Linked DNA regions of Elephas maximus indicus. The protein of the gene in region 3 purifies or fractionates together with the protein of the main gene of each other region. This does not show direct contact. Links are inferred from orthologs where the notes say so. Each region holds a gene or a part of one and is shown on either strand. Other genes may lie near its edges.

What was found.
Region 1: the proteins of FBXW7 (region 3) and MED12 purify together in Homo sapiens (affinity purification with mass spectrometry; 3 studies listed by BioGRID and IntAct, with this or other methods). This does not show direct contact. The link is inferred for Elephas maximus indicus from reciprocal best matches to the Homo sapiens genes FBXW7 and MED12.
Region 2: the proteins of FBXW7 (region 3) and RBX1 purify together in Homo sapiens (affinity purification with western blotting; 8 studies listed by BioGRID and IntAct, with this or other methods). This does not show direct contact. The link is inferred for Elephas maximus indicus from reciprocal best matches to the Homo sapiens genes FBXW7 and RBX1.
Region 4: the proteins of FBXW7 (region 3) and PRR36 purify together in Homo sapiens (affinity purification with mass spectrometry; 3 studies listed by BioGRID and IntAct, counting the BioPlex papers as one, with this or other methods). This does not show direct contact. The link is inferred for Elephas maximus indicus from reciprocal best matches to the Homo sapiens genes FBXW7 and PRR36.

The regions. Positions count from the first base shown.
Region 1 is NC_064846.1:98,567,393-98,574,424, reverse strand, and holds the start of MED12 (mediator of RNA polymerase II transcription subunit 12), read left to right. Parts: upstream 1-4,009; 5' UTR 4,010-4,239; coding exon 4,240-4,338; intron 4,339-4,853; coding exon 4,854-4,958; intron 4,959-5,170; coding exon 5,171-5,362; intron 5,363-5,496; coding exon 5,497-5,656; intron 5,657-6,149; coding exon 6,150-6,331; intron 6,332-6,850; coding exon 6,851-6,961; intron 6,962-7,032. UniProt on the Homo sapiens protein: Component of the Mediator complex, a coactivator involved in the regulated transcription of nearly all RNA polymerase II-dependent genes.
Region 2 is NC_064822.1:185,113,797-185,121,318, forward strand, and holds the start of RBX1 (E3 ubiquitin-protein ligase RBX1), read left to right. Parts: upstream 1-4,487; 5' UTR 4,488-4,520; coding exon 4,521-4,598; intron 4,599-6,514; coding exon 6,515-6,593; intron 6,594-7,522. UniProt on the Homo sapiens protein: E3 ubiquitin ligase component of multiple cullin-RING-based E3 ubiquitin-protein ligase (CRLs) complexes which mediate the ubiquitination and subsequent proteasomal degradation of target proteins, including proteins involved in cell cycle progression, signal transduction, transcription and transcription-coupled nucleotide excision repair.
Region 3 is NC_064831.1:31,103,345-31,110,953, forward strand, and holds the start of FBXW7 (F-box/WD repeat-containing protein 7), read left to right. Parts: upstream 1-4,566; 5' UTR 4,567-7,609. UniProt on the Homo sapiens protein: Substrate recognition component of a SCF (SKP1-CUL1-F-box protein) E3 ubiquitin-protein ligase complex which mediates the ubiquitination and subsequent proteasomal degradation of target proteins.
Region 4 is NC_064821.1:12,609,567-12,616,461, forward strand, and holds the start of PRR36 (proline-rich protein 36), read right to left. Parts: upstream 3,064-6,895; 5' UTR 2,996-3,063; intron 2,452-2,995; 5' UTR 2,445-2,451; coding exon 2,186-2,444; intron 2,074-2,185; coding exon 1,974-2,073; intron 1,720-1,973; coding exon 1,607-1,719; intron 1,524-1,606; coding exon 1-1,523.

The DNA.
Region 1 (7,032 bases), on a different chromosome or scaffold from region 3:
AAGCAGGGATGATACAAGCAAATAATAAAACACAGCGTAATAAGTTATAGAGCATAAATATGGAGATACTGCAAAGTGTGTGAACACAGAAGAGGAAGTAACTAAATTTACCAGGATGGGGGGGCGGGGGAATTAAGGGAAGGCTCAGCTGGAGGGGTGCTATTTTAGAGGAATCATAAAGAATGAGTGGAATTTTACCAGACAGAAAAGGGGCAGGACATCAGGCAGAAGAAAAGAGCATTTGACTTGGAGTCTCAGGACATCTGGATTATAGTTTTCTTTTCATAGCTATTATTTGAGCAAATAATTTATCCCCTTGGGACTTACTTAAAAATAAGAAGCTTGTATTGACACCCTCTAAAGTCTCTTTTAGCCCTAATGTTCAAGGGTGTATTAGTTTCCTAGGGCTGCCTTAACAAATGACCACAAAGTGGGTGGCTTACAGCAACAGAAATTTATTCTCCAACAGCTCTGGAGACCAGAAGTCCAAAATCGAGGTGCAGGCAGGGTTGGTTCCTTCTGAAGGCTTTGATGGAGAATTCATTCCAGCCTTTCTGTAGGTTTTGGTGGCTGCCAGCAATTCTCGGCCTCCATTGTCACGTCACCTTCTCCTCTGTGCCTCCTTTCCCCTTCTCTTCTCTTATAAGGTCACTTGCCATTGGATTTAGGGCCTACTCCAATCCAGGATGATCTCGTCTTGAGATCCTTACTTCAATTACATCTACAAAGATCCTTTTTTTTCCAAATAAGATCACATTCGCAGGTTCCTGGTGGACATATCTTTTGAGGGCCGCCATTCAACCCACTACAGAGGGCATTCTCCAACTTAAAAGTCTTCAAAAGCTACCCATGGCCTTCAGGGTAAAGTCCAAATTCCAATCATCACATCCAGCCATATTGGACATGTCATAGGCATTTACTCTCTGACTGGAATTGTTGCTGTTGCTGTTGTTGTTGTCACTGCCTTTGAGTTGGCCCCTGAGTCATGGTGACCCCATGCACAACAGAACAAAATGCTGCCTGGCCCTGTGCCATCCCTATGATTGGTTGCAGATCTGACTATTGTGGTCCATAGGGTTTTCATTGGCTGATTTTTGGAAGTAGACTGCCAGACCTTTCTTCTTTCTTAGTCTGGAAGCTCTGCTGAAACCTGTTCAGCATCATAGCAACAGGCAAGCCACCACTCACAAATGGGTGATGGATGCGTACGAAGTGCATTGGCTGTGAATTGAACCCAAGTCTCCCACATGGAAGGTGAGAATTCTACCACTGAACCACCACTGCTCCCATCTGACTGGGATTAGCCTCTCCCTAATTTTCTGTGTAATTGGCTACCTAAAGGTTAGTAGTTCGAACCCACCCAGCAGCTCCATGGAAGAAAGGCCCGGCAAACTGCTTCTGTAAAGATTATAGCTAAGAAAATCCTATGGAGCAGTTCTAACTTTCTAACACATGGGGTTGCCATGAGTTGGAAATCGACTTGACGGCAACAAGTTGTTTTTTTGTTTTACTTTTCTGTGGGAGTCCCTGGGAGGTGCAGACCTTTAACGCACTTAGCTTCTAATGGAAAGATTGGAGGTTTGGATCCACCCAGGCGCACCTCAGAAGAAAGACCTGGCAATCTACTTCCAAAAAATCAGCCGTTGAAAACCTTATGGAGCACAGTTCTACTCTGGCACCCATGGGGTCACCATGAGTTAGAATGGACTCAATGGCAACTGATAATTCTCTGTGGATTCAAATCCTTCAGGGTAAACTTAAATGTTACCTCCTCCAACATGTTTTCCTCTCCCCAATCAGAATTATTCTTCCTACCCTCTAAACCCACTGCCATCGAGTCGATTCCAACTCACAGCGACCCTATAGGACAGAGTAGAACTGCCTTTCGTACTTTTATTATAGCACTCTAGCTATCTCATCTCTAAGAGGTGATACCCTACTAAAAGAATATCGATTCTGGAGTCAAGAAGGGATTCTAGTTCTTCCTCTGTTACTCACTGGTTGTTAGGTGCCATCGAGTCGGTTCTGACTAATAACGACCCTATGTACAACAGGACGAAACTGCCCAGTCCTGAGCCATCCTCACAATCATTGCTATGTTTGAGCCCATTGTTGCAGCCACTGTGTCAATCCATCCCCTTGAGGGTCTTCCTCTTTTTCACTGACCCTCTGCTGACCCTGGTGGTGTAGTGGTTAAGAGCTGTGGCATACCTTTCCAGATTTTGAACCACTTAGTATCCCCGTGTTCTGTCCGAACAACTGCCTCTTGATCTATGTGCAGGTTCCTCATGAGCACAATGAAGTGTTCTGGAATTCCCATTCTTCGCAATGTTATCCATAATTTGTTATGATCCACACAGTTGAATGCCTTTGCATAGTCAATAAAACACAAATAAACATCTTTCTGGTATTCTCTGCTTTCAGGCAAGATCCATCTGACATCAGCAATGATACTCCTTGTTCCACGTCCTCTTCTGAATCCAGCTTGAATTTCTGGCAGCTCCCTGTTGATGCACTGCTGCAACTGCTTCCGGATTATCTTCAGCAAAACTTTACTTGCGTGTGATATTAATGATATTGTTTGACGATTTCCCCATTCTGTTGAATCATCTTTCTTTGGAATGGGCACAAATACGGATCTCTTCCAGTCAGTTGGCCAGGCAGCTATCCTCCAAATGTCTATGAATAGACAAGTGAACGCTTCCAGCGTTGCATCCGTTTGTTGAAACATCTCAACTGGTATTCAGTCAATTTCTAGAGCCTTGTTTTTCACCAATGTTTTCAGTGCAGTTTGGACTTTGATCATATGCTACCTCCTGAAATGGTTGAACATCGATAAGTTCTTTTTGGTACAGTAACTCTGTATTAGCTGTATAATATTGGGCAAGTAAATCAGCTTCCTTACCTGTAAATGGGGACAATAATAATCCCTAACTCATGGGGTTGTTTGTGGATTAAATGAGATAATGTTTGAAATTCATCTAACATTTAATAGGTGCCTCTCACTTTTTTTTTTTTTCTCGCTAGAGCGATGGTTCTTAACCTGGGATTCATGGCCACTTAGGGAATACATAGATGAGCTTTGGGGATCTAAAAATATTCCTGGAAAATATCTGACATTTTGTATGTCCATATGTGCATTTTTCTGGGAAGAAGGCCCATAGCTTTCATCAGCATCTTGAAGGGCTTGTGAATCAAAAAAGATTAAGAACCTCAACACTAGACCATATGAAGGCTTCTCCAGGTTAGAGAAGGAGCCCTGGTGGCGCAGCGGTTAAAGCCATGAGTGCAAACCGAAAGATTCAAAAAAAAAAAAAAAACCTGTTGCTGTTGAATCGGTTCTGACTCACAGCAACCCTACAGGACAGAGTGGAACTGCCCCGCGGGGTTTCCAAGGAGCGGCTGGTGGATTACCAACTGCCGACCTTTTGGTTAGCAGCTGTAGCTCTTAACCACTGTCACCGGGGCTCCTAACTGAAAGCCTGGCGGTTCCAAACCATCAGCGGCTCCGCGGGCGAAAGATGTGACAGTTTGCTTCCTTAAATATTTACAGCCTTGGAAACCCTGAGGGGGTCCCTATGAATGAGAATCTATTCAACCGCAGTGGGTTTTTTTCTTTTTAGAGGATAGAGACAGCCTTTCAGGGCTTGATAGGTGCTTTCTTATGCATACATAGTTTTTAGTCTTCTCAACAGTCCTTTGAAGAACATAACAGTATGCTCACTTTTCAGTTGCAGAAACGAAGAAGTAGCTTGTAGAAGGCAGTTTCGAATCACTGCGAATAATTATTGAGAAGCTTTTCTAGGCCAAGAACTGAGGTAGGCGCTGGGAACCCAATTTCAGTCACAGCTCAGAACCCTGGTTCAGCACCACGGCTGCCTCCGCCTTTGGAAGTTTGTATCTCCAGCACAGTACTTGGCTCAAGAGCGTTTCACAGACTTTTTTTGCTGGGTGAAATAGATTTTCCGCCGCTCGGTAGGAAAAGCTTTCTGGGCACGGAGCTCCACCCCACGCTGGGCCGGCCCCGCCCCCACTGCAGTCGGTATTGTCGGACGGTTCCCGGTGTCCCTCGGGTTCACTCGGTAGTTTCCGGCAGTGATCGAGAGTTTGTAACGTTCCCCCTCGTTGTCTCTCGGCCGCGTCCCCCCAACTGCCGCCCCCCTTTTCGGCTCCCTCTCCCCCTTTTCCCCCGCCTGAGCCTATCCCTGCTGGCGCTTCTGGCGCTACGGGCTGGGCAAAATGGCGGCCTTCGGGATCTTGAGCTACGAACACCGGCCCCTGAAGCGGCCGCGGCTGGGGCCTCCCGATGTGTACCCTCAAGATCCCAAACAGAAGGAGGTGCGTTCATTAATCGGGGCTCTTGCGGGACTAGGGACAAGCGATCAGCACAGGAGGAGGCATTGACGGCTTGGGGGAGGGGGCGAGGCGATTAGGTGGGAGCAAAGTCCCGAAAGGGGGAAGAGTAAAGTGGGGCGGTGTGGGAGAGTAGGACCTAGCTATGGGGGCTTCTGGCTATAAATAGGGAATGATGTAGGGGCCACACCAGAGGCATCCCCCCACACGTATACACATACGCTTCAGAAAGTTGTCTGACGGTAGCTTGGTGAGGTAAGGCTGTTCTCTAGGGAAGAGTGATGTTGAGGGAGTACTGGGTGGTTGGGAATCTTAGTGACTGAGGAGGTGAGGGTGGGGTCCAAATGAGTAAAAGAGCCTAGCCTTAAATAACAATCTATTTTACTCAGAATCATCCTTCTACCCTTTTTCCTTGTACCTTCCCTCCCCTTGCCCTCCTCTTTCACCCTTCCTACGCCCAGGGGGGGAAAAAAAGCTAAAATGTCATTTTCCTGCCTTAGGATGAACTGACGGCTTTGAATGTAAAGCAAGGTTTCAATAACCAGCCTGCTGTCTCTGGGGATGAACATGGCAGTGCCAAGAACGTCAACTTCAATCCTGCCAAGGTGAGGCAACCCTGCCAGACTGAAGGGAAAAGGCTGGAAGAATCTGAGAAGGAGCAAAAGCCCTGGGTTGGGAAGACTTAAAGAGACAATCTAAATGGCTGAGTTTTCCATTGTAACCTAATGCCACAACAATGGTATTTGTATATCAAAGGCACAACCAACCACCTATCTGCCCCTTCTTCCCACCCTGAGGTATAGTTTTCTTCCCTCAGATCAGTTCCAACTTCAGCAGCATTATTGCAGAGAAGTTACGTTGTAACACCCTCCCTGACACTGGTCGCAGGAAGCCCCAAGTGAACCAGAAGGACAACTTCTGGCTGGTGACCGCACGATCCCAGAGTGCCATTAACACCTGGTTCACGGACCTGGCTGGCACCAAGCCACTCACACAACTAGCCAAAAAGGTGAGATACTCTTTCCTGTTCTTCGGGCCAAGGGGGGAGTGTGGATACCAAGTATGCTGCTATTCCCATATTAAGCTACATCGATACCAGCTCATGGGGTAATAGAAACCTCACTATTTGTTATGTCCATCCAGGTCCCGATTTTCAGTAAGAAGGAAGAAGTCTTTGGGTACTTAGCCAAATACACAGTGCCTGTGATGCGAGCCGCCTGGCTTATTAAGATGACCTGTGCCTACTATGCAGCAATCACTGAGACCAAGGTTAAGAAGAGACATGTCATTGACCCCTTCATGGGTGAGTAACTCCTAACACCAGGTGTATCACTGACCCTTTCTAAGAATGATAAATCCTTGGAATTATTCTCTTTCCTAAACTATATTCCATTCTTCCGCTTGTATCTTGCATTCACTCAATTAGTAAACATTGAGTATCTTGAGTATAAGTAATATGCACGTACTGGGCTATAACGATGACTAGTACATAATTCCTGCCCTTCGCGTGCTTATTGTCTAGTAGGGATGTTAAGGCACATGTACAAATAACATAATTAAAATATAGAAAGTAGCAAATGTTAAAAGAGGAGGCAGAAAATTCTTTGAGACTTCAGTCAGCAAAAAGTTTACTTTCTTTGGTGGACAACTGGGAAGGCTTTAGGAAGGTGGCATTTGACTCTAGCCTAAGAAGTTGAATAGGATTTATAAGTATGTGATTGGGGGTGGGGGTAGGGGACAGAAGAAATTCTACACAGAGGGACAGTATAAAATAGCCTCTTCTATCTTTCCTCTAGAGTGGACACAGATCATCACCAAGTACCTATGGGAGCAGCTGCAGAAGATGGCTGAGTACTACCGGCCAGGGCCTGCAGGAAGTGGCAGCTGTGCTTCCACTATCGGGCCTTTGCCCCATGATGTGGAGGTGGCAATCCGGCAGTGGGATTACAACGAGAAGCTAGCCATGTTCATGTTTCAGGTAGGGAGTAGGGCATGTAGTGTGTGGGGCATCGAACTGAGCCTTACCTTGCTTTGCTCTCTGCCAGTATAGAACAGAATCAGCCAACCACCTTGCTCCTGTTGTGGTTTCTTTCATCCTTTCATTTGCTTTTTTTTTTATAATTTTTATTGTGCTTTAAGTGAAAGTTTACAAATCAAGTCAGTCTCTCACACAAAAACCCATCTACACCTTGCTACACACTTTTTTTTTTAATGAGACAGCCCACTCTCTCCCTCCACTCTCTCTTTTCGTGTCCATTTCACCAGCTTCTAACCCCCTCCGCCCTCTCATCTCCCCTCCAGGCAGGAGATGCCAACATAGTCTCAAGTGTCCACCAGATCCAAGAAGCTCACTCCTCACCAGCATCCCTCTCCAACCCATCGTCCAGTCCAGTCCCTGTCTGAAGAGTTGGCTTCGGGAATGGTCATTTACTTTTCCTGCCTCATCTCTAATAGTCCCTAGACTGAACTAATACTCTTCCCACCCCGGTACCTATAGGATGGAATGCTGGACAGGCATGAGTTCCTGACCTGGGTACTTGAGTGTTTTGAGAAAATCCGCCCGGGAGAGGATGAGTTGCTTAAACTGCTGCTGCCTCTGCTGCTTCGGGTAAGGCACTAGGACTTGGAGGGGGTTATAGGGGGGACTTGAAGGATAAACTTTAGAGCAGTGTCCCTTGG
Region 2 (7,522 bases), on a different chromosome or scaffold from region 3:
CCTCATCCCACCAAGAAAGAAGCACCCGAAGCAAAGCACGTCCTTTGGACCCGGGATCCCTGTGATGAGAAGCTCCTAGGCCAGGGCAAGATTGATGACAAGGACCTTCTTCTAGAGCCAGCAGAGACAGAAAGCCTTCCCCCGGAGCTAGCGCCCTAAATTCTGACTTCTAGCCTACTGGACTGTGACAGAATAAACTTCTCTTTGTTAAAGCCATCCACTTGTGGTATCTCTACTATAGCAGCACTAGATGACTAAGACAGCAGCCATGCACCAGCCAGGCACCGCATACAAAGCAAACAATCTTCAAATGGTTGCTGCATCCTCTCTTGCATCCCTACAGTCGCTTCTTCACAAGAGTCACTGTCAGTCCCCTACCTTAAACCCTCCAATGGCTTCCCATAACCTTTGTAATAAAATCCCCACCTTAACTGGCCTTTGCCTACGTCCCTGACATCTCTTACCACTCTTGCCTTGTTCAATAAGCTCTAAATTTATTCACTGAACACATACTGAGCATGAACAATGTGACCAGTTAACAACCAAAAATACCTATTCTTGGTGAGGACACACTATAAACAATAAACCTAATACAGTAGTAAATGACAAAGTAAAGTAGAAGGTGTTCCGACTCAGACCACTCCATGTGACAGAGTAGAGCTGCCTCATAGGGCTTTCTAAGCTGAAATCTTTACGGAAGCAGATTTCCAGTCTTTCTCCCCTGGAGCTACTGGGTAGGTTCCAAACCACCAACCTTTCTGTTAATAGCTCAGTGCTTAACCATTGTGCCACCAGGGCCCCATTAGAAGGCATACCAAAATCAAACCAATCCCATTGCCATCAAGTCAATTCCAACTCATAGAGACTCTATAGTACAGAGTAGAGCTGCCCCATCGGGTTTCCAAGGAGTGGCTGGTGGATTCAAACTGCTAACTTTTTGGTTAGCAGCCAAGCTCTTAACTACTGCACCACCAGGGCTCCGTTAAAAAGAAAAAAGAAGAAGAAAAAAAAAAGAGCAAAGTGAATGGAGAAGCCGATCATGCAAGACCTTTTAAATCGTCATAAGGACATTGGCATTTCTGGAGTAAAATGGGGAGCCACTGGAGAGTTTTCTGAAGACAAGTGGATCTGACTTATACTGTAAAATTAGATCTGTGGGCTGCTCTGTAAAGGGAGGGCAAAAAGGCTAGAAACAGGAGACTAGCTAGAGATTATTGCAGTAATTCACATCAGAGCGGTCACAGATGGTGAGAAGCATCAGATTCTGAGTACGATTTGAAGGTATAGCCAACAGAATTTTTTCTTTTGTATTTTTCTAAATTGTGCTTTAAGTGAAAGTTTACAATTTCTCATCCAAAAATTTAGACACACATTGTTATATGACCCCAGTTGCTCTCCCTACAATGTGACAGCACACTCCTCTCCACCCTGTATTTCCCAAGTCCATTCAACCAGCCTGTCCCCCTCTGCGTTCCCATCTCGCCTCCAGACAGAAGCTGCTCAGTCTCATGTGTCTATACTTGAGCTAAGAAGCACACTCCTAACCAGTATAATTTTGTGTCTTATGGTCCAGTTCAGTCTTTCCAACAGAATTTCTTGATACAACAAGGGCACGTGTTGAGAAAAAGGAAATCCAAGGATGACTCTAAAGTTTTTGGCTTGAGCAACTGGAAGGATGGAGTTGCTATAAACTAAAATGTGGAAAACTGTAGATAAAACAGGTTTTGGGCCATCGGAAGGTCAGTTTGGGCATGTCAAGTTTGAGATCTATGGACTTCAAAGTGGTGATGTTAAGTGGCCTGCCACATATAGAAGTACAAAGGCTGAAGATATAAATTTGGGGATTATTTGTATGTAGACATTACGTTAAAGCCATGGGAAGAAATCACCCAAGGAAGTAAATGTAAGTGAAAAAGAGGATTGAGAACCTAGCCCAGTTGCCAACAAAGGAGATTGAGATGGTGTGGTCTGTGAGGTAGGAGAAAATGGAGAGGAGTATGGAGTTCTGGAAGCCAAATCCAGCCTTCTGTTTCTCAAGCCCATTCCTGCCTCGGGGCCTTTGCACTTGCTCTTTCCTCAGGTTCGGCTGCAGCTAAACGTCACCTTCTCACAGAGGCCTTTCCTAATCACCTGACTTAACACTGCCCTCTCTTCCCCTCAATCTCACCCTGTTTTGTTTTCTTCATAGGACTTACCTCTCTACCTGAAGTTTTCTGCTCTTGACTTTGTGTATTACTTCTCTACTAGAAAGGTCTGACTCCATCATCACTGTGTTTCTCCTATTAACAATAGGGCCTGGTACATCGTAGGTAAGGAGCCCTGGTGCCGCGATAATTAAGTGCTCAGCTGCTAACTGAAAGGTCAGCAGTTCAAACCCACCAGTGGCCCCAATGGCGAAAAGACCTCGTTATCTGCTCCTGTAAAAATGACAGCCTGGGAAACCCTATGGGGCAGTTCCACTCTGTCACATAGGGTCACTAGGAGTCAGAATCGACTCGACGGCACACAGCAACATGTAGTAGGTACTCAATGAATTTGTTGAATGGTGAATAATGAAGTCCTCAATACCTTAATCTTATATGGGTTTCTAGAAGTTATGCAGGAGTATGTTGTTGTTAGGTGCCGCTGAGTAGGTTCCAACTCAACAGCTACCCTATGTACAACAGCATGAGCCACTTCTGGGTCCCGCACCGCCCTCACAATGGTGGTTATGCCTGAGCCCATTGTTGTAGCCGCTGTGTCAATCCATCTCGTTGAGGGTTTTTCTCTTTTTCCCTGACCCTCTATTTTACCAAGCATGATGTCCTTCTCAGGGGACTGGTCCCTCCTGATAATATGTCCAAAATATGTGAGACTAGTCTTGCCATCCCTGCTTTTAAGGACCATTCTGGTTATGCTTCTTCCAAGACAGCTCCATTCATTCTTTCAGCAGTCCATGGTATAGTCAGTATTCTTTGCCAACACCATAATCCAAAGGCATCAGTTTTTTTGGTGGTTTTATCCATTGTCCAGCTTTAGCATGCGTACGAGGCAACTGAAAACACTATGGCTTGGGTCAGGCACACCTTAGTCTTTAAAGTGACATGTTTGCTTTTTAACACTTTAAAGAGTTCTTTTGCAGCAGATTTGCCCAACGCAATGCCTCTTTTGATTTCTTGACTGCTGCTTCCATGGGTATAGGAGTCCATAGGCACACAATAAATTAGAGGGCATAAATTTTAACATGGAATCATTAACAAAACAGGCTATGAAAAACTTTGTCGAGTTCCTATAATGCCTTAAGGTCTCCCACACTTTTTCTCTTTCCACATCTGGTCAAAACTGTGGTAGCATTTTCACGGATTTGTTGTTCTTGTTTATGACTAAGACAAGGAAACAAATCGCAGTTCTTCCGGTTTAGCAATGGAGTATAACAGACTCCACTGCTCTCCAATTTTCTTCTAAGAGAAAATACGAGATTTCAAATAAACCAAGATTTAAGAGTGATTTAGCTGAATCATAGGTCTGCGAAGTTAGAGCTGTAAAAGGGGCGGGGGGGCTCGTCTAGAAATGGGGGAAGACATATGTGTGCTTTGGCTGGGAGAGAATGACCAGGAGACAAATGGCAGTACCCACAAAAAATTAAGAATTACAGTGACTGCAGATGGGTCAGTATGACGATAGCCCAAGGAGCGAAAAGAGGACAGGTATGAGGGAGAAAGGACCTGACTAATGGAGGAGTGGAGAATGGGTCCTCAAGCCTGTGAAGCTGAAGGCGTGCACCTAAAGCAAAGGCTACTCTAGGACTGACGGGTACTACAGGTGAGCTGGAGAGGACATCGCCCGGCTCCTAAGCCTCCTCCATTTCTGGTGGGCAGGGGACGGCAGGGCTGGAGGTTGCCTGATCAGTGATTTGGCCCTGGGAAGGAGGCTCGGGGATCTTCTCTCCCCCCTTCGAACCCCTGAGCGTTTCCCGGATGGAAGTCAGGAAACCAAAAGGCCTCGGGCCTCCGAGGGAGGCTGCACCCCGAGCCTGGCTGGGATGCGGGTCAGGACCTAAGAAAGGCCAGCGTGGGGTCTCGGCAGCAGGCGGCCGCCCGACACTCGCCCCTTCCCTGGCCTAACGCGGCGGGGACCCGGGGCCTCGAGGCCGGCCAGGCGGGGCCGGGCCGCGGCCGCAGGTCGGGCCAGAGGAGGAGGAAGCAGCCGCCGCCCCAAGCAAGGGAGTGGGGCCGGGGGCTTCCTGGGGGAGGGCGAGACAGCGAGGCTTTCGACCGTTTCCCCCGGCTTGCTCACGTCGGCGCGGCCCCGCCCGGCCCCGCCCCAGACCCCGGGCCACCACCTCTTCCTTCGCGGCCGCCAGGCGGGGGGGAAACCGCAGCAGCGCCTTTAAGAGGCGTGGCCATGTGCTCCGCCCCTACTGCCCCGTGCGCGCCAGTGTGGGGTGGGGCGCGGGAGGAGGGGCTCGGGGGTGGGGGGAAAGTGAGGCGTGCACTCCTGCGCTTGCGCAGTGGCCAGACGCCAGACAGTGTGTTTCCAAAATGGCGGCAGCGATGGATGTGGATACCCCGAGCGGCACCAACAGCGGCGCGGGCAAGAAGCGCTTTGAAGTGAAAAAGGTTGGGTCTCGCCAGCGCCTTCCTCAAAGAAGCTAGAGAGGCGCGGATCTGGCTGGCAGGCCCGAGGGTGACCGAGGCGCGAAGGAAAGGGCTTCATTTCAGGGCGTTCCTGGGACCGGGTACACGAAAGGAAGCCGGGGGGCGGGCCTTAGCGTTGATTAGCGTGACGGCGGCCCAGTGTCAGAGGCAGTGTTGGTTTCGCCGTGAAGCAGTGGGGCCAATCACGGAGGCGCTTATTGGGATAGGCGGGGTTGTGATTTGGTTGCGGGAGCCAAGCGCCTGAGCTGTCACTGGAGTGGTTGAGGGGTGGAGGAAGGAGTGGGTGGGGTGAGTGGATGGGGGAGTCGGAGCGACTGCGGTGTGTGGAGGATGGGATAGTGCGGCGAAAGCCGGGAACCCGAGGTCCTACCGCAGTGGAGGCCTTTGAGCCGGGCTGGTGATCCCCTTGCCCCGCCCTTCTCTGTAGCTTGGGAGCCTCTCTGATTCTGAGGGTGCCCTGCTGGTCCTCGCGCAGTCGAGGCCTCCATTAACCCTCTCTTTGGCCTTTACCCCGCTGAGTTAAAGTGTCTCAAGTGAGAAGCTTGGCTCTGCTAAGAAGTCTGTTGGTTTGTTACACAGCACTGCCAGCCCTGTGGTTCCCCGTCACGCTCAGAGTTCCTCCTTACGCTCCCCACCACAAAGAAGAAAGCATAGTGGAATTCGTTAAAATGTGAACCCAAACCTTGTGGCATTTAGGGAGGGTTGAGTGCTAGTAAAGAATGACTTGGTAAAAGTGGGAAAACATGAATGTGGAACGTGTCTTTCTGCATGAAATGCCTTTTAGGCTTGCCAACAGTTTGGGAGAAATGTGTCGATTCCCACCTAAGATAAAATAAATCTGTTCAAAATGAGGATTCTGAAATAGGAAAGGTGTTATTCCTGGACGACCTGTCTGAACACGGACGACATTCCCCATCCAAAGTGCTTTTTGGCGGCTCATTGTGGGCACTGCCTGCTCAATTACAGCCCGCAGCCATGTTGAAGAATAAAAGAACTCGCTTTTTTTTCCCCCCAAGTTGGAGGTGTGGGATGAAAAGTGCTGAAGTTATGAGACACAGAGAGAATTAGGTTTGAAGGAGATGGTGTTGGGGGTGGCACCAAATTAGTGGATGAAAAGGGAGCTTCAGAGTATTTATAGCGGCAGAAGCAGGAAGGTTGAATTAAGTACCACTTTTAGATAAACTTTTGTCAGAATTCTCTTAACAAAACGTAGACGTCTGAGCATGTAAGCGTTGAGAGCATCAGTTTATTTGATGGTAGGAACTAAACAAAGTTCTAGTGGTTTCTAGAGTTGGTTATGGAGTGATTTCATAGGATTCGAGTGATGACCTTGTTATGTGTACTGACACAGTGGGTAGTTAGTTATCCAGCTTATCCCACGATCACCCATGCTATGATCCAGTCATCATCTTAGTTCATTCTGTTCCTAGCTGTCCCCTCCCCACTCAGCCTTCCAAAGCTGCCTTGCAGCACAGGTATTTATGCAGATACTGAGTTCTTATGCAGCTGCCTGGGGAACCTGCACAGTAATGCAAGTTTGTGCTTATTAATGCCAGAACAGGCACTTAAAAATTATTCATGATTTGCTTACATTAATATGACTGATTTAAATTATTTTAAGCTATAGGGAGAAGATCAAAGATGATACATTAAATTCTGCGTTCATACATCAGCCTTTGAGAGATTGGGAGAATATACATGAATTTTACTGTTGTCATTTGATATAATAACTAAGAGTAATATGAAAAAACTGTTTTGTTTGGTGGTCCCTGTGGCCAAAGAGATGGTAACTGCTGCTGCGGTATGCAACTTGAAGTGTGTGTGTGTGTATGTTATGTTACAAGGCGAGTGCATTGTTCCCCTTTTTCTCTTTGCAGTGGAATGCAGTAGCCCTCTGGGCCTGGGATATTGTGGTTGATAACTGTGCCATCTGCAGGAACCACATTATGGATCTTTGTAAGTAATTGGAGGAGGAGGGGAGGAAGTTGAGAAGGTTACAGGGATTGTGGCTATCCTGACGTGACCAGTTTTCTTGGTCACAGAGAGAGTTATAAAGCATAGTCAGAAGTGCTTGGGGTCTTTTGCATTTAGTCTTTTGGTGTGTTTAAAATAGAGTAGGTTTTTATGTTGTCCTGGAGGCATACCCAGCTCTCAAAATAGATCTACTCAATCTAAAGATGGCAAGGCCACATTTAGAATGAATTGTGGACACAGAGGCACTGTTGATGCTTTCTCTTTATGTTTCTTGTCTCCTACCCAGACTCAAAGGCAGAAATAGCAAAAGGAAGAAACTAAACTTGGAGCTAAAATATTCTATCTGAGCTAGTTTTTGCTAGGCAGCATTTATAAAGAAAAACCTAAGAAGTAAGGATTTTTGATTTTAGCCCCAAACGTTGTAAAGAGGATATCACCACCAACTTCTAAATAGGCAATTGCACTAAAGAAATTTTATTTTAATCTCCATATATTTCATTACACATGGTGGTTAACACATACTACATCTGATTATAGCTGTTGACTGGGCAAGAAGGTTGATTACACCAAGAACCAAAAAACCAAACCAAACCCATTGCCATAGAGTCAATTCTGACTCATAGTGACTCTATAGGATAAAGTAGAACTGCCCCATAGGGTTTCCAAGGAACGTTGGGTGGATTTGAACTGCCGACCTTTTGGTTAGCAGCCGTAGCACTTAACCGCTACGCCATCAGGGTTTCTGACACTAAGAACAGTTGAAATTAACTTTTTTCATCCAGGTGTTAAAATGGTTTGTTGTTGAGATCAGACATGGGACAAAGAAACTTTAAGTTTTTAGAATTGAAATTATGGGCATTTACTTTTTAAATAACTTACCTGCCCCTCCAGCTTCTTCAACCACTTTCCCA
Region 3 (7,609 bases):
ACTTTTAAGAAGTTTAAAAATAGAATGAAGTAAGCTATAATTATTATTTTGGAAAGAACTTAACACAGCTATAACTTATTATTTGGTGGTATAACCTTATCTGAAATAAGGTGGAATGCAAAAGAATATTGGAAAATGAGGCATCAGAGATTAGACATTAGTAAGGTAAGACCGCACTTCACAAAAGAGAAAATCCAAATGTCTAGTAGATATATGAGACGGTCCTCAGCAGCATCAGTAACTAGGGAAATGCAAGTTAAAAGCACAATGAGATACTACTACACACCCATCAGACTGGCGAAACTGAAAACGACTGACATTAGTGAGTGTAGTTGAGGGTAGGGAACAATGAGATGCAGACACAGCTGGTGGGAGTGTAACATTTTAGAAAATAGCATGGCATTATTTATTCGAGTTTGGTGATACGTATAACCACTCCCAGGTGTATATATTAGAGAAATTGAGGTAGATATGGTAGAAGACATATATGAAGAATGTTTACAGCAGCAGTGTTTATAAGCCTGCAAATGGAAACAACCCAGATGTCCATCAACAACCGAACAGCTAAATAAATTGTGACATGTTGCTACAATGGAACCCTGTAATGTGCACCAATGAAAAGGGATAAATTACAGCTAAATGCAACAACATGGATTAAAATCAATGTTTTGAGAAAAAGAAGTACAATAGATTACACGCTATGTAAATATGTAGTCCCTGTTAAATAAAGTTCAAAAGAAAGGGCAAAACTGAACAATATATTGTTTAGGGATGCATGCTTGTAATAAAATAAAGGAAAGTGAGGAAATGGTTATCATGAAAGTTAGAATAATGGTTACCTAGAGCAGGGAGGGCAAGTTATGGTCAGGAAAGGTCACCAGGGGGCTTTGGGTATACTTGCAATGTTCCAATACTTGACCTGGTTAATTGGTTACATGGTGGTTTCCTTCATCATCACTCAATGTACTGTATAACTGTTTTATGCATTTTTATGTATACTTCACAATGAAAACGCTAAAATTGATGTACTAGATGAATTGCATATGGTATCTTTTAGAAATAAGCTATTTTGCTGAATAATTTAGCTTATTACATCTTTGACAGTAAAAACCACTGATGTGGGATATTAAAACCTTGATTAAATAGTTTCTAAGACCTCGCTTTCGTGGGTTAGCGGTAAAAAAACACTATACAGCTATCCCTTTGTTATGTTTTACCATGATACGCAGATCTTTGTCATGAACAAATTGATGAAACAGGAAGACCTGTTACCTAAACTTCAGATTTTTGAATTCTGAGTTAACTAGCTCCTCTGAGTTAATAAGCCACACAAGGAACAAAAGTAGAAATTGGAAATGTTCCTCCTCTCTAGTCACCAGTTCCAGCTGTTCCCTCCTGTTATGGTGGGTGGTAAGGTGGGCCGATCTTGCCTAGTAAGATTGGTGCAGCTGTTGCTTCGTAAGTAGGTGTCTCAGAGCTCTCCTCAGTGACGTTCTATCAGCTCTGAGGCTCTGAGGTGCAGTCACTGACAATACAAACAGATGGGGCTGCTGGAGAATCCTGTGCGGCTCTTCTGGAGATGCACCCTGCTGGCCTGTGGAAGGAACTCTGATGTTTGCACTCTTCTCATTTAAAGCCCCAGGAGCTAAAAATCTGAGTTGTTCAGTTTCACAAACTCTCCTAAGCCTGTGTTTTTTACTCATTCAATTTCCACCATTCCCCTACTGTACGACAGGAAGAGGGACAAAAACCAAAGATTTATTTTGTAGCCATTTGGGGCCGCTGCTTGTTTGTCTGACTTCCTGTGAGTCTTATTTGGAAGGATACAGCAAGGGATTGGTTAGGTAAAGACAATCAAATGCAGGGTATTTATCCTGGTTCTTGGGACTTGAGGTCAAGAACGGTAGGGTCAGATGCTGCTTTGTGAGTCATGCCTTGCTTCTGGAGTGCCTCTCATCCCCTTCTCTGCAACATTTAAATAAAAATGAATCCTTGGATTTGCCCAGTTAGAGGTTTCCTTAGTCTACAGTTTGCATATGGTGGTTGCCGTAGTACCCCAAATCTGCCAGCTTCTATCCCCCAGCTGGAAATACCCATTACTGCTGCTTCCAAGGAGGTAAGGTGTGTGCGGTTCAGCGACAGAACTATCTAACCTGCTTCCTTTCATCATTCCTCCTGCTTTTAGCTCCTTCTCACACTAGCCACCAGGTCAGGTTCAAGACAGATTTCTTAGAATTCTGATCCTTTTCTTCTTCCCCTAGAGAACTACACTTTTAACTTCATGAATTTTTACTTGAATTTATTTTCTAAGCTAACATTTGTCGGAAACGCTGCGTAACAATAATAATATTTATTTCAGAAAAAAAAAGCCTTTGAGTCAGATCTAAAACACATGCCAAGATTTCTTTAAGAGCTTAATGGACACTGAACGACAACCAAGACCAGTCAAGAAGCTACAACCACAGGCAAGAATGATTTTACTAAAAGTGAGGCAGTGCTAAATTCTCCCCTGGAAAAAGTCTGAAATCCTTCTACAATCTCCCAGAGGCTGGCTCTCTTCGAATTCCCCTCTCTCCTGCCCCACCAACGATCTACGGGAGGCTGGCTCCCTTTTACCCCCTCCACCCCACAGCAATTCTCCTCCTTTTTCAACAAAGACTCAGGTCGTGACTTCGTACTCAAGCCGCACCACTATGTAGTTCCATAGGAGGGGGGTACATTACAACTCTCATCTTTATAATGCATTGCAGTTTACAAAGCGCTTGCACTTCCATCATCTCCTCTGAGCTCCTCCAGTGACTCGTGAGGGAGGCATTCATTCATTCATCAAACATCTGCTTGGCCCGACCACAAGCTATCGAGCGCTGCGTCTCATCCCACACCATGGGAAGAGCGGGGCGCTCGCTCCTCCGAGCAGGTGTAGCGAAGCAGTCTACAGGACAACTTCTCGCTCAGTCCGGCTCAGGGCCCCTTTTGGGCCAAATGCCTCACCTTTGGGTGATGCACGCCCGAGCGCAGTCGCACGGCCTGGGCCTCCTCCTAGCTCCCAAAGGAGCAGTCACCACTTGCCCTGAAGGAAACCGCTACAGAGCAAGCTCCCTCGCCGCTCTCAGGTCAGGGGTAAGATCAGGCGGCAGCTTAGGCTCGACTCGGCTCCTCCCCTTCCTCTCTTCAGTTCTGACGCGGCCGCAGAGGCGGCGGCGGCGGCGGCGGCGGCCGCAGCGAGTCCCGCGGCCCGAGGCGCACCCACCCGCTCGCCGATCCCCGACTTCCTCTTCCCTTCGAGCGTCATCAGAGCGCGTCAGAGTTGCCCAGGGCGGGGTGGGTGGAAAGGGAAAAAAAAGGCCAGCGGCGGAAGCCTCAGAGCGGAAAAAAAGGGAGGGGGGACGAGAGCGGTTGCTAGGTGACTTGCGTCATCGACATGCGCCACTTTCCTCCCGCCCCTCTCTCTAGAGTGAGGCGAGAGCTCCGCACAGAGCGAGCAACACTGCGAGCCGAGCTCCCGGCGCTACCGCCACCGAGAGAGTGAGAGCGAGGGAGCGTCCGAGAGACCCAGCCTCTGTGCACTGGCTACCGCCGAGACCTCCGTCCTAGCCTGGGCCAGCAGGAGCCGCGGCCGCCCCTCCTCACCCCCCCTCACCTTCCCGGCCGGCAGCGGCGGCTGCACACGCCGGAGCCCGAGCCCGAGCCGGAGCCGGAGCCGGAGCCGGCGGCTGGGGGCAGGGAGGCGGCGACCGCGGGCCGGGGCTGGGCAGCTTCTCCGCGCTGAGAGGACGCTGAGGAGTGGCCGGAGCTTCTGCCTCGTCCCGGGGCGTGAGTGAGGGACTCCCAAGGTGCAGGGAGGGGGTCTCAGCCGCAGCGACACATGCGGGAGCCGGGAGCGGGGGCGGCGCCGAGCGGAGCCGGCCGGGTCCCTCGTCTCGCCGCCGCGTCGTGTACCTGCCCGGGGCCGTAGCATCTCGCCCGGGAGTGTATGAGCCGGGACTCCAAGCTCAGAAGCCACCCCCCGATTGGGGGGGCGGGGACCCCGATGTGAAGCGGCGGCCGGGGCGGCGAGGAGAGCAGCACCGGCGCCGCCGACCTTCCCCTTCCCCTCAGCCCCCTCGGGGGCCTTCTCCGTTGGCTAGTCGCCGGCCCCCCGGCTCCTCGCAGGGCTCCGGGAGGAGTTCTCAGCGCCCCCTCCCCCGCCCCAGCCCCAGGGCGGCGGGGCCGGGGGGGACCCGGGGGGCCGGCCGCAGCCTCCGCCCAGAGGAAACTTTTTATAAAAACAAAATTCGGCGCCTTCAGACGTGACTGTCTCGGGTGAAGTGGCCCTGGAAGGGCAGAAGCCACAGCCTGACGAGACCCGGGAAGAGGAAAAGAGGAGGTAAGCGGGGCCACCGCCGCCTCTCACTCGGCCGCGCGGAAGAGACCCGGGTGGCCGCCTGGTTTAGAGACACTAGCACCGCTGCTTCCTCAGTAACGCGCCGGAGCCTTCCGCAGCCGCCGCCTCAGTCCGGAGGAGGAAGGGAACCAACCCACTTTCTCAGCGCCACGGTCATTACTCTTCGCTCCTCAAGTGTGAGTGGCCCTGGGGAAGGGAATTGGGGGGCGGGGGGTGTGAGAAGATGCGGGTGTTTTTTCCTGGGGTTTTGCTGATGTTCTCCAGGTGTCCTGGGGGCGTATCGATGAGAGTGTTGCCTGTATTCCCTACAGAGGGGAGATGGTATTAGGTAGTCTTGTGTTTTGTAACCTTGTACCTCTTTGTACGAGTTTTGCCAAGTTTACAGAATTCTCTTAGAGGAGTTCTGTCTTTTCTCCGGAGTGGGTACTTGCACCGGTTTCTGGCCAAAAGGGCAAAAAGAAGCCAGAGCATAGGTGCGCACAAAGAACATCTCCGAAATACACCTTTTCCTGGTACACCGGGTGTGATGCAGTGCTGTAGTTTTTGTTTCTGGGGAGCTCTCACATGGGTTCTCAGGTGGGAACCACTTTCCACAAGCCTCTGAAATTAAGTTTTTCTTTTTTTGCAGTCTTTCTTGAGACAGCTTCATTGATCCAGTTTTTTAATGTTCTCATTTCTATGGTCCAATGTCTGTGTGTAGGGAGGACAGTGTAACAGATTTCAGTTGCTCAGGAAATTCTCAGTTCTTGTGAATCACAACTTATTTGGGTGAGAGCATTTAGTACAGTTTATACAAGTTGTTGCATTTTTGCTTTCACCCAAATGCTTTTTCTTGAGTAGCATATGTCCTAAATGATGGTACTTTTTTATTTGGCAAAATGATTCGAAGTTTTCATTATTTGAGTTATTTTCACTTCTCCATCAATTTAGGAGAAAGTTTTGATATTTAACAGTTTTCAAGAATGATTTTTTTCTTCCGTCATTTTAAAGTTGAAGTCAGTAAGATCTTTGGCTTGTATTTCAGGTAACTTCTCAGAGTACCAAATTAGAGGTGCTTGAAAGTAATTATCATTTGATATATTTATACAGCCTTAAGTGTTAAACATGGAGGGGGATTTTATACAGCAGAACGCAGGTAGTACTGTCTTGGGAATTGTGGTTCATCCAGTCCACTGTTGGAGTTCTCATGGAAGCACTGCTAAGAGATGTTGACTGGGAATGTATGCAAACTTGGGCTTAATTGTCAGTATCCTAAGTTCTCTACTCAGGATCTTGATCAAATTTATTTAAAACTTTCTCAGTGTTTCCATCCTGTACTTTTTTTTTAAGTAGTGAGTTTTTCAGGTTTATTAGTCTCTGAATTATTTAACAGTGCACTTATTTATCTCAAACCTGCATCCTTAAAGTTTCAAAGCATATCCAGAGTTTGTGTTTTGAGAGATGCTAGAAAAAGCTGAAGTTCGTCTTTTCAGTTTCATGATTTTTCTTCTTTACCATCGTCTTTCCCAACTCTTGTCTGTTTTAGAGTAGTTTTTTTCCATCTCCCTGATTACTTTGCTCACTTCTAGAACTTCTCCAACTCTTTTTTTTTTTTTTCTTGAGATACCTGTTGGTGTTATGCTTTTGTAAGGAACTTTAAATTGTATGTATTTTAAATGGCTACTGGGATCACAGTATTGAGTAGTGGATATAGCGTTAGACTTGGAATCAGAAACAAATACCCCTAAATCTGTTCTTATTTTGTGACCTTGGGTAAGTCATGTATTCCATGTTTCACAAAGATATGAGGAAGACAGATCTAGTCTTGCATAGGCTGTATTTTGGAAGAGGGTAGGACAAACCAACAAACTGTAGTTGAGTGTAGATTGTACTTGATCAGAATTGCTTACCGAGTTTAACCCAAACCAAACCCTTTGCCACTGAATTGGTTCCAACACATAGCATCCCTGTAGGACAGTAGAACTGCACCGTAGGGTTTCCAAGGGTATAATCTTTTACGGAAGCTGACTGCCATATCTGTCTCGCTGGGTGATGGGTGGGTTCGAACTGCTGAACTTTCAGTTTGCAGCAGAGCGCTTAACCACTGTACCACCAAGGCTCCTGTTTACCAGCTTTAGGACCTGCATTTTATTGCTTTGACTATAGATTGGGTAAAAAACCATGAGAATGTTTTATTGTATATTTTGGTAGCAAAGAAGGACAAAGCAGTAGGGGGTCCCTGTTTTTAAGATGCTTTTCTTTAAGGGCAGTGGAGGCAATCAAACACAAATTGCACAGAATTGTAGGAAAGGGCGAATGAACTAAAGTGTATTTAAGACTACTATATGACTGAGGATCCCTGGTGGTGCAGTGGTTAAGAGCTACGGCTGCTAACCAAAAGGTTGGCAGGTCAACTCCACCAGCTGCTCCTTGGAAACCCAGTGAGGCAGTTCTGCTCTGTCCTATAAGATAGCTATGAGTTGGAATTGACTCCATGGTAATGGATATATGACTGATAACTGTGTTTTGGTACTTTGTAAATGTGAATGTATCTACATTTTTCATTAGGGTAATGTTTGTGCTGGACTGTACAGAACTAATTGGAGTATCTGAGCCAAATCTGGGACAGTCTTTTCAGGGAAGCTCATTTACGTTATGTTTTGGAGAGAAAAGAGCAAGTGGAAAGTGGAATTGGAGACTTCAGGTGGGAGAGGCAGATGTAATTAGGAAGCTAGTTTGATGGGAATACAGAGGGTGGGGTTGCGTATGGTTAGGGTCAGTTTATGTTTGTGCAGATTCATGGGTTATAGCCCAGAAAAGCAGTTGAGAACAATGTTCATGAGTGGGTAGTTTCACATGATTGGGGAGAGATTACATTTTACGCCAAAAGCATTATGCCTGGATTGGGATTTTGTTTTTGTAGGAAACCAAAAGTTTTTTGCCATGGTCACCGAGGGGCTATACGGAGGAAGGAGTGAAAAAGAGCACTGGAAAAGGCCTCCAGTATTTCAGTGTGATGGTAAACAAAAAACAGTCATTGCCATCGAGTCGATTCCAACTCATAGTGACCCTAAAAAAAGAATTTAGTAATAGGACAGTGAACTTTGTTTGGGACATTAAATTCTAAGGTAAAAGTTGGGTATATGGATGTAATCGTACTACAACAAAACAGTGAAACAAACAAGTGAAAAAACAGAGAATGGGTGAGACTCTCCCTAAAATTAGATGTTTTAAAAGTGGATTAGA
Region 4 (6,895 bases), on a different chromosome or scaffold from region 3:
CAGAGGGGGTGAGGCAGGGAGAGAGGAAGGGGCTCCCAGAAAGGGTGAGGCAGGGGGAGAAGGAGGGGCCTGCAGAGGGGGTGAGGCAGGGGGAGAGTGAGGGGCCTGCAGAGGGGGTGAGGCTGGGGGAGAGAGAGGGGCTCCCAGAGGGGATGAGGCAGGGGGAGAGGGAGGCACCTGCAGTGGGGGTGAGGTTGGGTGAGAGGGAGGGGCTCCCAGAAGGGGTGAGGCAGGGGGAGAAGAAGCGGCCTGCAGAGGAGGCGTGGCCATAGAAGGGGGAGTGGTTTGTGGAGGGGGCGTGGCCAAGGGAGAGGGAAGGACCTGCAGAGGCTGTGAAGCCAGAGAAGGTGGGACCTGTAGGAGGGGTGTGGCCAAGGGAGAGTCTAAAGGACAAGGATCCTGCGGAGAGAGTGTGGTCAGGAAACAGAGAGAAGCCTGCAGAGCAGCTGTGGCCAGAGGAAGATGGTCCTGCTTCGGAAGCGTGGCCTGAAGAGGAGATGGAGACAAGAGAGCTGGGGCCTGAGTAGGGGGCGTGGCCAGAGAGGAGGGCAGGCCCTGCAGAGGGGGTGTGGCTAGAGGAGAGGGCGGGTTCAGCGGAAATATTGCCGGAGAGATTGGAGCCTGTGGAGGGGGTGTGGCTGGTGGCGAAGGAGCCAACAAAGGAGGTGTGGCCAAAGGAGAAGGAAGAGGGGACAAAGCCAGAGAAGCCTGGGTAGTGGGCATACTCTGCAGAGGGGGTGAAACTGATGGAGAGAATGGAGCCAGAAAAGTGGGCGTGGCCAGGGGAGAGGCGCAGGCAGTAGTAAAGGACTTACCCTGGCAAAAGGGTGGAGCTTGCAGAGGGGGTGTGGCTGGTGGAGAGGGGAGGGTCGTTCGAGGGAGGGTAGAGGAAGGAGGAGTTAATGGAAGAGACGTGGTCAGAAAACAGGTGAGGTCGTGGGAAGGGGATGTTGCTGGTGGGGAGGGCAGGGCCTGAAGACCGAAGTTGACGGGCAGAGGGGGCGTGGTCGGTGGAGAAGGAGGGAGCGTGGCAGGCAGCCGGGAGGCAGTGATTTGGGTAGGTGGTGCCTGCTGTGCGCTCGGACCCTGCGGAGAGGATGTGGCCAAAGGGGAAGACTGGCTCCGCCCAGAGGCTGCGGCCTTCCTTGGGGGTGTGGCCTGCGGGGGGCGCAGACCCTGGGGTCCTTTTGACTGGGACTGGGAAGGATGCCCCGGAGCCCACGGTGTTCCTCGGGCCGAGGCCCCGGAGCGGGCTGGAGAGGACAGAGGGGCAGTGCTGGAACCCAGGGGGCGCAAGGCTGGCCTCTGGAGGCCCCCGCCAGCACTGGGCCGCCTCCTGGCGGTGGGGCTCGGTTCAGCGGCGCTGCGCTCCACCGCGCTGCTCACTGATCTCCTGGGGGCCTCGGTTAGGGGCCGCGGCCGGGCACTCGGAGCTGCCAGGGGGAGTCCCACCTCGGCTTCGGGCAACCGGGACCGACGGGTGACGACCGGGGATGGAGCACCGGAAGTGGGCCTGGAAGAGTCTAGAGGCAAAGCAGAGGGCCAAAGGGTCACCACAGGTCCTCCCTCACTGCCCAGGAACCTCGCTTCTCCCCAGGTCATGTACCTCTCCGCGGCCCGGCGCTAGGGCCGCTCCTTCTGGGAGCCCCCGGGGCTTTTCCTCTGGCCACAGGCTCCTCAGCTGAGGGTCGCAGTCCCTTCTGGCCAGCAGGCCCCACCCTGTGGAAGGGAGGGGCAGTGCTCAGGGCAGACCCCTAGCTCCTTGTTTGACCTCCCAAGTCTCCATTTTTCCATCTGTGAAATGGGGCATTTACCCTCTCCACAGACTAATAACGGCTTTCACACAACTTGCGCCCAGGAATCTGCAAACGTTCAAACGCCCCCTCAACTTATGTGTAAAATTAAAAGGTTTCAGATAGTGACGCAAACCCTTGCCTAGGGGCTTTTTTTTTTGCGGGGGGAGATGTTGTTACCTGGCTGTCCCGCTGGCATGTGCCGGGCTAGACTTACAGCCCGGGCCCGGAGCCTTGGCAGGGGTCCGCTCCACTCTCGCAGCTTCTGGGGGCCTGGAGGCTGCGGGAACAAGCCGAATCAGCTGTGCCCCGGAAGGCAGGAGGTGGGGCTAGTGCCTCGGGAAAAGGGGCGGGGGAGATAGGGCTGGGGTCGGAGAAAGAGGCTGGGGTACCTGGACTCCGGGTGCCTGTCCCGGTGCTCTGCGCTGGTCCCACCCGGGGAGCAGCCTTGGGGAGAGTGGATCCCCCCATGCCCCCGGCTCGCTCTGCCAGGGGCCTTCGCCCAGCTGCTCCCAGAACTCGGAGGGCTGCGGTGGTTACTGGAGGAGGGGGTCGAGGAGACCCTGGCGGCCTAGGGGTCGGAAGGCCAGGAGGGCGAGAAGCCGGTGTCCGCGCAGTGGCCCCAGCCTTGGCCTTGTCCCTTTTGTCCATCCTGCACCTGATGAGCAGAGTGACCCATCAGCATCCCAGGTCCTGCACCGTGATGCTGCCTGCGGGGACTAGGGTCCTTGCTGCCTTTTCCCCAGCACCGCCACTCACGGGCGCCGGAACCTCAGCCTGCGCCTCCATCGCTTCCCTCCATCCTACCCACCCACAAGCGCTGCTCTTCAGCTGGTTGTCTCCAAGTCCCAACCCCACCACCTTCCCCAAATGCTGGAAGCCCTGCCCGCCCTGGCCCACCGCCGCCCCACTGCCCCTCCTGCTCCCTTCCAGGACCCGAGATCCACGCCCCCAACCCTCGCCCCCTCGGGGACCCAGACGGCCAGTCACTGGGACAGGGAGCCACCGCGGGCTCCAGAGCAGGGGAGGAGGCCCGGAGCACCCTCCCCGGCCTTCCCCAGGGACCCCGGCACCTGCCGGTAGAAGGAGCGGCTCCGGCTGCCCGAGAACGGATTCAGGAGACAAAGAGCCGCGTCTCGGCTGGCCCCCTCCCCGCCCAGCCCAGCCCGCGCCCGGCCCTCCACCTGCTCTGCTGCGCTCACCTCCGGCTCCGGCCGCCTACCGCTCGCACACCGGATGCCTGGGATGGGACGGGTCCGAAGCCTGGGCGGCTTCTGTAGCCGAAGAACAAGGGGAGGGGGCGGCGGCGGCGGCGGCGGCGCGGGGGAGCCGGCCGGCCCCGCCCCTCGGCCGCGGGAGGGGAGGCGGGCGTGCGCGCGAGGAGGCGGCCGGGCGCGCGCTCCAACCAGAGCCGGAGCCGCGGGCGGGGGCGCGCCGAGGGGCGGGGGAGAGGCGCGCGCTGGAGGGAGGGACGGCGGCCCCGGGGTCTGGGGGCGACCTGTGTCTGCTGCTGCCGCCCGAGGACTCCCGAGACCGGACGCGACGGACCTCCAGGAAATCTCTGGGGAGCCCCTCTCGACCATCTCACCCCTCATCCCCCGACCCACACACCTGCCCCGGTCCGCACCCCAACCACCTGGCAGCCCAGACCCTCCCGGACGCTGATAGGCTGGGTCCTGGCAACCAGGGGGCGGGACCAAAGCGCCTCTGGCTCAATCGACCAACCCTGACGCTCCGTGGCCCTGGTCTCTTCGCCTTCGCGACCTCGGGGGCCGGGCTCCCCGCCAACCAACGTCCTTGGGGGGCCTTTGCCCCTCTAAACACCTGGAGGCTTTTCCCAGACCCCGGAAATCCCCTTCCTGGTTGGGGAGGGGAGCTGCTGGGAGACAGCCCTGGGGATTTAAGGGATGCGAGGAAAAACGCAGATTTTGGGGAATACAAGAAGAAAGAAGGAGAGGGAGGCAGAGAGACAAATAAAATGGCAAGAGGTGACCCCAGCTTTCTGCAGGGCAGAGCACCCCGACAGAGACTTCCCCAGGGAGCCAGGCTCTGGAAGGAGAGAATTGAGTGTGGGGAAGTTGGGAGGTGACAAAACAGGTGCCTGAAGGAGGTGCAGAGAAAATCCTAACCCAGGGCCCCAGCCCAGCTGCAAGGAGTAAAAAACAACAACAAAAACAGTCTGTCGCCCTGATTTCAGACTCACGGCGACCCCATGTAAAGTCCCTGGATGGCTCGAACAGTTGGTACGAGATTCCTAACCTAAAGGTTGGCAGTTTGAGCCCACCCAGCAGTACAGCGGGGCAAAGCCCTGGTGATCTTCTTCTGTTAAGATTACGGCCAAGAAAACCCTGTGGAGAAGTTCTGCTCTGTAACATATGGAGTCGCCAGGAGAATTGACCATAAGGCTGCTGGATTCGAACTGCCGACCGATTGGTTAACAGCCGAGCTCTTAACCACTTTCCCACCAGGGATCCCCGCAGGCAGTAGGAGGTGTCATTCTGGTGACTTGACCAACCAGCACAGGAGCCTCAGTGAAGGGCCTTGATAGGGAGCTGACATGAAGGGGAGGAAGCATGAAGGAGAGAGAAGGCCATCTTCAGTTGGCCTCTTGCCCCTCCTCTTGTCCTGGAGGTTGTGCCTTGTCCCCTGTGTCAGTCATGCCCCTTCACTGTGCTTTGCTGCTTTCCACCTCGATGCCTCATTCCTCCAGACTCGCAGCACCCCCCCACAGCACCCCAAAGAGCCAGCTACCTCTGCCCCAGCACTACCTCCATCACTCGCACTTACACGTACATCACACGCACACCACACACACACACCCCACCACACACACACCATGCACCACACACGTACACCATACACACACCATATACCACACACAGCACACTTCACACACACACCACACATACCATACACCACACACACCATACACCACACACACCCCACCACACACACACACTCCACACGCACACGCCCTTCCGGGACTTAGGAAAGGATGAGACTGGCACCTGGATGATGTAGGGTAGAGGTGGGTGGGCGTCACTAGGCTGTGGATGGACACAAGGATTTGGGCTTTCTCGCTCTGGGAGTTATGCCCACAGTTGAGGTTCAGAAGATGGGAGAGAGAGGTAGTAGCGTCAGAAGCGAATGCTCACTTAACAACAAAAAGACAAACAACACAATTAAAAAATGGGCAAAGATCTAGACCAGGCATCTCACCGAGGATATTCAAATGGCCAACAAGCACATGAAAAGATGCTCGGCATCCTTAGCCATCGTCGGTTGTCATTGAGTTGGCCCCTGAATCCTGGTGACCCCATGTGTCACAGAGTAAAACTGCTCCAAAGAGTCTTCTTGGCTATAATCTTTACGGAAACAGATCACCAGGTTTTTCTTACGCGGAGCTGCTGGGCAGGTTTAAACCACCAACCTTTGGGTTAGCAGCCAGTGGCAAACTGCTTGCACCACTCAGGCTTCTACTAGAATGTCAGAGATAAGAAAAAAACAGAAAACAACAGGTATTGGCAACGTTGTGGGGAAACTGGAAACTTCATCCATTGCTGGTGGGAATAATGTAAACTGGTGGGCGCAGCCACCGTGGAAAACAGTTTGTTGGTTCCTCAAAAAAAGTTGAACATAGACCACTCCTAGGAATAGATCCTAGAGAAATAAGAGCCATCACACAAATAGACAAATGCAGACGCATGTTCATTGCAGCATTATTCACAGTAGCAAAAAGATGGAAACGACCTGAGTGCCCATTAACAGATAAATGGATAAACAAACTATGGTATAAACACACAATGGAGTACTACGCAACAATAAAGAACAATGACGAATCTGTGAAACACCTCACAACATGGATGAATCTGGAGAGCGTTATGCCAAGTGAAATAAGTCCACCACAAAAGGACAAATACTGTATGAGACCACTATTATAAAAGCTCAAGAAAAGGTTTATGCGCAGAAAGAAACAATATTTGATGGTTACTAGGGAGGGAGGGGTGGGGAGGGAAAAACACTAATTAGACAGTAGATAAGTGGTAACTTTGCTGAAGGGTAAGATAGTACACAATACTGGAGAAGTCAGCACAACTTGACCAAGGCAAGGTCACGGAAGCTTCCTAGACACATCAAAACTCCCTAAGGGACCGAATTACGGGGCTGAGGGCTGGGGATCATGGTCTTGGGGGGCATATAGCTCAATCGACATAACATAGTTTATAAAGAAAATATTCTACATCCTACTTTGGTGAGTAGCGTCTGGGGTCTAAAAAGCTTGTAAACAGCCATCTAAGATATTCCACTGGTCTCACCCATCTGGAGTAAGGGAGAATGAAGAAAACCAAAGAAAGACACAAGGGGAAGATCAGCCCAAAGGACTAATGGACCACAACTACCACAGCCTCCACCAGACTGAGACCAGCACAGCTAGACGGTGCCCGGCTACCGCCTCCGACTGCTCTGACAAGGATCACAATAGACAGTCCCAGACGGAGCTGGAGAAACAAGTAGAACAAAATTCTAACTCACAAAAAAAGAGACCAGACTTACTGGTCTGACAGAGACTGGAGAAACCTAGAGAGTTTGGCCTCTGGACACCCTTTTAACTCAGTCCTGAAATCACTCCTGAGGTTCACCCTTCAGCCAAAGATTAGACAGGCCCATAAAAGAAAATAATAAGACTAAATGGGTACACCGCCAGCCCAGGGGCAAGGACGAGAAGGCAGGTTGGGACAGGAAAACTGGTAACGGGGAATCCAAGGTCGAGAAGGGAAGAGTGTTGACATGTCATGGGGGTGGCAACTGTCCTAGTCATCTACTGCTGCTGTAGCAGAAATACAAGTGGATGGCTTTAACAAAGAGAAATTTATTTTCTCACAGTCCAGTAGGCTAAAAGTCTGCGTTCAGGCCTCCAGCTCCAGGGGAAGGCTTTCTCTCTCTGTCGGCTCCGGAGGAAGGTCCTTGTCTTCAGTCTTCCCTTGGTCTGGGAGCATCTCAGCGCAGGAACCTCAGGTCCAAAGGACACGCTCTGCTCCCAGTGCTGCTATCTAGGTGGCATGAGGTTCCCCAACTCTCTGCTTGCTTCCCTTTCATCTCTT